Oryctolagus cuniculus: one gene and its partner. The protein of the gene in region 1 purifies or fractionates together with the protein of each later gene. This does not show direct contact. Links are inferred from orthologs where the notes say so. Each region holds a gene or a part of one and is shown on either strand. Other genes may lie near its edges. The genes, in order: ACVR1 and TGFBRAP1.

The links.
Region 2: the proteins of ACVR1 (region 1) and TGFBRAP1 purify together in Homo sapiens (co-immunoprecipitation; 3 studies listed by BioGRID and IntAct, counting the BioPlex papers as one, with this or other methods). This does not show direct contact. The link is inferred for Oryctolagus cuniculus from reciprocal best matches to the Homo sapiens genes ACVR1 and TGFBRAP1.

Annotation. Positions count from the first base shown.
Region 1 is NC_091434.1:84,290,549-84,294,365, reverse strand, and holds part of ACVR1 (activin receptor type-1), read right to left. Parts: intron 816-3,817; coding exon 540-815; intron 1-539. UniProt on the Homo sapiens protein: Bone morphogenetic protein (BMP) type I receptor that is involved in a wide variety of biological processes, including bone, heart, cartilage, nervous, and reproductive system development and regulation.
Region 2 is NC_091433.1:103,327,092-103,330,908, forward strand, and holds part of TGFBRAP1 (transforming growth factor-beta receptor-associated protein 1), read left to right. Parts: intron 1-1,775; coding exon 1,776-1,919; intron 1,920-2,453; coding exon 2,454-2,613; intron 2,614-3,817. UniProt on the Homo sapiens protein: Plays a role in the TGF-beta/activin signaling pathway. It associates with inactive heteromeric TGF-beta and activin receptor complexes, mainly through the type II receptor, and is released upon activation of signaling.

The DNA of each region.
Region 1 (3,817 bases):
CAGAATACAACAGTGCTGGCTGCCCCTGAGGATGCGGTGGGACGAGGCTGACTGGAGGAGCCTGCAGTGACTTTCTGAAGCAATGGGAAATTCTGTATCTCAAGAGGGACTGGAATTTTGTAGCAATTGCCAAAACCCTGAGAATATACTAAAGATTTGTATATTTTACAGTATGTAAATTTCGCCTGAAAGGGAAAAAAGAATAAATAATACATTAGTTCAAGATATTGCAATGAGCATGCTAAAGTTGCTACAGAGAAGAGTTCTTTCATCTGTAATTCACTTTGCAAATGTGTCAGAGTTAAGATGGATGGATGGAGGATGGATAGCTGGAGAGACATGCAATAAAGCTTAAGAATAATTAAATGTTACCAGAAGCATTCAGATGGTATATACACAGTTGTTCATTACAAAGTTATTTCAGTTTTTATGCACAATTGAAATTTTTTACAACAACAAATTAGGAGGCTAAGAAGTTCAACTTGATTAAACACTGGAGTGCAATAAAGGCAAAAATGGTAATACTTTAAGAAATTTACCCAAATCTGCTATGCAGCACTGTCCATTCTTCTTCACCAGGATGTTTTTGCTTTTTAAATCCCGATGGGCAATGGCTGGTTTCCCTTGGGTCCCAAATATCTCTATATGCAGATGTGCAAGACCACTGGCTATGGACAGCACTATTCGAAGGCAGCTAACTGTATCCAGAGTAGTGAGCTGAAGATAGTCATACAAGGATCCCATCTCATGATAATGTGTAATTAACCACAACTGAGTACTGGAGTGTCTTGATGTCATGTCTGAAGCAATGAAACCTGGAGAGAGCAACAACAAAATTAACACAGTGAGAACTCCACACTGTAACTTTTAGTATTTTGAAATGGTGCTTTACACAACAGACATCATTTGTTTGAAAAAAGATTAACCCATCGCCATGACAGAAGGTTTATAGATGCACCAACAGAGGAAAATAATAGCATTTATCCCTTACAAAGGGCACTGCTAATGAACAGGGAATTTCAGGAGGAAGGATAGAGTGGGAAGAATCACTGTCCCTAAATCTGTATATATAAAATACATGAAATTTGCATACCTTGAATAAAATTTTTTAAAAAAGAAATTTTCATATTCCTTTCCATTCTAAGTATTATGGTTTAAAAAAAAAAAAAGATTTGTTTTATCTATTTGAAAGACAGTTACAGAAAGAGAGTGAGAGACAGAGAGAGGTCTTCCATCAACTGGTTCATTCCTCATATGGCCACAATGACCAGGGCTGGGTCATGAAGTCAGGAGCTTCTTCAGAAGTGGAGCAATCAGGACTCAAGCCTGCACACATAGGGGATGCTGGCACTACAGACGGCAGCTTAACCCACTATGCCACAAAGCTGGCCCTGAGTGACTTTAAAAAAAATACTTCACATTGTGTTATGATTCAGACAGGAATCTTTGTGCTCACCCATAAGGACAGTGCCAAACTCTTATCACATTGATCTTCCAAGTATAGAGCCTTCATCAGTCACCCTAAAACATAAAACCTGGAACCTAGATACTTAGATTCCATTCTGACCCTGCCTGTAACTTACAGTGCAATATCAGGTAACTCAAACCTGCTCTCTGGCCACTTTTGTTGGGACACAATATAAATAGGTGAGTTTATACCAAATGACTGATTAAAAAAAAAATCAAATAGAACAAGCACTTACAATGCTATCTGTCAGTTATACGGAAAAAAACGAAGATGATAGCATTTATTGGCTAGAAAAGGAAAAATAAATAAAAGGGGAAAATATACACAATAATCTGTAATATTCATCTGCATAGGACACCATGAGCCCAGGGAAGGGGATTACATTAAGTCAGACCTGACTCCCTTCAGTAAGCGGCCACGGAACAGGCCTCTCCCTGACAGAAGGTAAGTACTGACAGATGTGGCCAAACCCAGAGAGAATGATTTTTCTCCTGGACATTCTGAGGGGATACTTGGTATTTCCCTTGGGAACTTTTAATCTTTAATGACTTTCTCAAAAATAAATGCAAACTATAAAAGCACCACTCAAAAGACTTTAAATTGCTGCCACGTATTTGTGTGGCCTCTCCTGATTTCTTCCCCAAAGGAAAAGCAGCCTCTGAGTAAACAAGTAACAAATTTTTATTCCCCCGCCTCCCCTAAGGCCCCTAGGTCTTAAATAAGGACTTTGTCTGTCCTGTTCATTATGCTACAGACTTGCATGGACAATGAGCTTACCTCTTTCCTTGCCCAATCACGCTTTCCAACATGTCCCTCAAGCTCCTGTCCTGGCTGTTCCCTTTACAGGGAACACCCTCTTCCTAGGAGCGGGGCTGACTCCCTGACCTCTGGCGAGTCTTAGTTCAAATCCAGCTTGATCTAAAAGGCTAATCCTGACCACCACGTTGGAAACTACAACTTATCCTCTCTAGGCATTCCAAATCTCCTTTACAACCATCTCCTTCCGGGGGAAAAAATGACTTCTAAATAAGCAGGGCTCTTTTCAAAGGTTTCTCTCTCAGGAGTGAATTATATAGCTATGTTTGCTTCACAGGGCTGGATGTTCACTTATGTAGAATGTCTGTGTTTTGAGTCAAAACACTTTGCTAGGGGTATGGATTGAGGCCAGTAGTTAAGATGCTCACAGCCCATAGCCTGCTCCTGACTCCAAACTTTCTGGCATGCTTCCTGCCAATGTAGACCCTGGAAGCAGTAACGGCTCAAGTGGTTGGGTTGCTGCCATTCATGTGGGTGACCCGGACTATGCCCTGAGCTCTTGGCTCCAGACAGCCCAGCCAAGGTCACTGCATGAATTTGGAGAATGAACCAGCAAATGGGAACTCACTCACTCACTCACTCTTCACCCTCCCCCTTCTCCCTGTTTCTCTGCCTCTCAGAAAAAGAAAAAGAAAGAAAGAGCTCTACTATTAGTAGAGATTGTACAGCTACCTCAGGTTGGAATTCTGGCATAGCCACTGGATGTGTTCATAATAGGAAGAGAAAGTGATTAGTGCAAAAGCCTCTTACTTAACAACCAGTCATCCTCCTAGGCTCCTTAAGAGGTCAAATAAAACCCAAAGTCTTAAGTAAGGTTATCAGCTACCCTCGTGAGCCTCTCACTGGCAATGCTCCCAGGAACAACGTACCTCCTGGGCAGCTTTCACAGGCCAAGTACAAGGCCACCATGTAAGACAGCATGGTTGTGGGGCCTCAGAGCTACCCTACTAGGATTGCATACTGGCTCTACCACCCTGGGGCTAGCTGATTTTGCCCAAGGCATATAAAATTTCCACCTCAATGTCCTCATTTGCAAGATAAGGATAATAACAACATATATTTCAAAGGGTTACTGTGAGAGTAAGAGCTATTACATGTAAGATGCTCGGAACAATGCCCACCACATAGTAAATGTTCAAGAACAGTTAGTGATTGTAGTATTATTGTAGTAATTTGATGTCATATCTTTTTAGGGAGATTCCTTTACTTACTGATCTCAAGAATTTGATTAAACAGCTAGGTGGTAATTTCAAGAGCAAGTGATAGCTCAGGAGATAAACGCTGGCGATGGTTATACAACAATGTACTTAACACCACTAAACTATACCTTTAAAGTGGTTAAAATGGCATATTTTCTGCCATGTATATTTCACTACAATTTTGTACAGAGTAGAAAATAACACTTCAGAATGAATTTTTCCTATGGTTTTAGTGATAAGGAAAAGAATGCTGAGAAAGATGTAACTTTAACACAAAGTCGCATCATGGGTCTCTGCTTGTGCTCAAAGTTGAATCCAGTTTCCCAAATTCCCA
Region 2 (3,817 bases), on another chromosome or scaffold:
ATATACATATGTCTGGGGTACCATATGACATTCTGATCTATGCACACATCGTGTAATGTTCAAATCAGGGTAAATATATCTGTATTCTTAAACATAATTTCTTTGTGGTGAGAACATCAAAATCCTTTCTAATAGCTTATGTCATTTCTTTTAAATGCTACAGCAACTCACAAAGAGGTTCCTGGAGGTTTAGAAACTTTCCTACTGTCATAGCTTATACAAGGGGATTTCAAAAAGTTCATAGAAAAATGGAACTAAGAGAAAGCTTTACTTTGTTGCAAAGGAGTGGAAATCATACAGTTTTTCCGTAATACACATTTCCATGGATTTTTTGAAGACCCTCTCTACATTGAACTCAGAATTTATATTTGCAACAGCTATGCTGTCTTTCTGATCTTTTGAGGTTATGGCATGTGTGCTTTTACAAGAGATCTTCAAAAAAGTTCAGGAATAATGTGTGTTATGAAAAACTATGCATGATTCTAAAAATTTTTTACATCAAAAGAAATTTATCTTTTAATTCCACTTTCCAATCTTTTTTTTTTTTAAGGTTTATTTGAAAGAATGACAGAGAAGGAGACAGGAGAGAGAGATCTTCTACCTGCTAGTTCACTCCCCCCACCACCACCATGGCTACAACAGCCAGGTCTGGGTCAGGCTGAAGCCAGGAGCCAGGAACTCCATCCTGGCCTTGCACTTGGGTGCATGGAGCCTAAGTACCAGGGCCATCTTCCACTGCCTTCCCAGGCACATTAGCAGGAAGCTGGATCAGAAGTGGGGCAGCCAAGGCTTGAACCAGCTTTCATTTGGCATGCCAGCAGCACAAGTGGCAGTTTGTGCCACCATGCCACAATGCCAGCCCTTCCACAAACTGTGGCAGGGTAGGCACAGGATGGATTTACTTCCCTGCCCGTCTCATCAAAATCTCTCTGGAAGACAGACAGGGACCAGCACACGGCACTTGACAGGCAGGGGCAGAAGGCACAGACCTCTGGTCAACCATGTCTGGCAAATGGTCCATCAAGGAGAACTGAGCTCACTGTATCAATCTATCACTTTTATGACTGTATCAATCTCTGTATCAGTCTCTACAGTCAATCACTGTATCAATCCCAGCACTCTTGAAAGGCAAGTGAGCATCCCTATTACTGTTACAAAGCTGCTGTTGCACCATGTTACCAGTAAACGTGCCATCCCTTAGCTTCCGAGCCTCTTAAGAGACAGTCCAGTGGGTTGTCCCAGGAGGGTGTCAGTCTCGGCTGCCTCTCCTGTCTTCTGTCTGCTCCCTGGTCTTTCTCAGTGCTTCTTGATGGACTGATTTTCTCTGTCACCATAATTTTTTTAACCCACTTGATTGACATTTGAAGAACTAGACATATTTAATGTAGCATATCCCTTTTTTTTTAAAAAAAAAATTTGATTTGTTTATTTACTTGAGAAAAAGAGAGCTTCCATCCACTCCCTAAATGTCCACAAGGATCGGGGCTAGAGGCTAGGCCAAATCTAGAAGCTTGGCATTCAAGCCAGGTCTCCCCCGAGCGGCAGGACACCAGTTACTTGAGCTGTTAGTGTGTCCCCACCCCTCACCCCGCCAAGTGATTGCAGTGGCAGGAAGCTGGAGTCAGGAGCTGGAACCAAGTGTCGAACTCGGACATGGGCAACTTAACTGCTAGACCAAGAACCTACCGCAGAGTGTGAACGTGCAGGGTGCAGGATAAAGACAAAGAGAAGGTGGCTTTGAAAGCATAGTAACCAAGTCGCTCCTCCCGTTGCAGGTTGGAGTTCAGGTTTTCACCAAGAGACCTCTGGATGAACAGCAGGACAGTTTCAACCCAGACGACATTATCAGCTGCCTTAAAAAGTACCCTAAAGCCCTGGTTAAATACCTGGAACACCTCGTGATGGACAGGGGGCTGCAGGTGAGTCCTCAGAGCTCAGGCTGGGGCAGCCTGCAGAGCTCCCGCGGTGCCATAACAAATGCACCTTGACTGTATAAGCTTTTTGACGGAGGGTTCTGATGTCCCATTTTACATTCCCTGGGTGCTCAGTCAGTCCTTGTTGATGGTTTGAGGGGGACTTGAGGCTTGATGACAGACACCTTGCGTCCTAGGCAGGTTTTTTTTTTACACCCTATCCTGTGTTCTAGATTCTTTTTCTCTTTCCCTTCTTTGTTACAATCCTTAAAGGAAATGGGAAAAGCTGGGCTCCTCTGGAGAACCCCTAAACCTATGGCCCTTACTTCCCAGGGTGAGGAGTAACCCCACTGTGTATCCCCCACGGACTCTAAACTCATCCCCTCTGCGTGGAGGTGTCCGAGAAGTCTCCAGGGCAGCCACGTTGTCCACTGTCTTTGGAGAATCCAGCACAGCTCCCCCGCACAGCCCTGGCCGTGGCGGTGTGACTGCCTGCTGACTTGCAAACGCCCTGTCTGCTTGGCTCCCTGTGTCCTGCAGAAAGAAGAGTACCACACCCACCTAGCCCTCCTCTACCTGGACGAGGTGCTGCAGCAGAGGGCGTCCGCCAACGACAAGGGGGCCGCAGCCACGGAGGCACAGGCCAAGCTGCGGCAGCTGCTCCAGAAATCCGACTCGTACCGAGTCCACTTTCTGATAGGTGAGGATGGTCTCAAGTCTTCTCTCCATGGACAGACATGTGTCAGGGGACTGGGGGGTGGATGGGAGGGACAGAGAGGCAGACCATGGCCCAGCTCCGGGGTTGATTCCTCAGGGAAGGGCAAGGTGCCTCTTGCTCTCACCTCCAGAGGTGGACAGCACCATTGACTGATGACATCAGAGGTGCCCAGTAGAGTCTGGACGTCTGCGTGTCTCTTGACCATACCTCCATTCCAATTGCTCTGCTCAGCATTGAAGCACTGAATAGTTCCTTCCAGTGACTCCAGGTCAGCCACCCCTCGGTGTCCACTGGAAATTGGTTCCAGGACACCAGGCATACCAAACTCTGCACAGGCTCAAGTCCCATGGCATCATATTTGCATATGACCTGTGCACTTCCTCCTACATACTTGAAGTCATCTGTAGGTTCTTTGTAACACCCAAGTGCAATGCGCACGCTATGTCATCAGCTGTTATACTGTGTTGTCTAGGGAAGGCAGTGCAGGTATCCTAGACAGGCTCCAGGTTCCACTGCTCGGGGGTGCAGAAACCACAGTTTCTATATTTTTTTAATAAATATTTTATTTATTTGAAAGAGAGAGAGAGAGAGAGAATTTCCCATCCTCTGGTTCACTCCCTAGGGCTGGGCCAGGCACTTTATGTCCTGGCTGGGCCAGGAGCCAGAAACATTTTGCAGGTCTCCCACCTGGATGGCAGGGGCCCGAGTATTTGAGTCATCTGCTGCTGCTTTCCCAGGCACATTAGCAGGGAACTGGGTCAGAAGTGGAGCAGCTGGGGCTTGAACTGATGCCCGTATGGGATTTTGGCATCCCAGGCCGTGGCATCATCTGCTGCGCCAGTTCCCATAGTGTAGAAGGGACCATTGAGCAGGTGGGTACTCACACCTGGTAGAACAAAAGAGCTTTTTGGCTGTCCTTGATGACATTGAATTTTTGGGTTTGTGCTTTGTCGAGGGTAAGTCACAAGTTTCTCTTTACCAGACAGCGGCTTTACCCGCTACGCCACAGCACCGGCCCCTGTTGATCAGTTTTTGGTCTCCCAGCTTTAGGTACAGACAGTGTGTCCAGTGTACTCTTGTGCATTGAGGACATAAAGATGGGTGAGACTTGCATCTAATCCTCAGTGTAATGGGAAGACAGAGGAGGCCTGAGGAAGTTGTAGACAGGACAGGGGCCCAGAAGAAC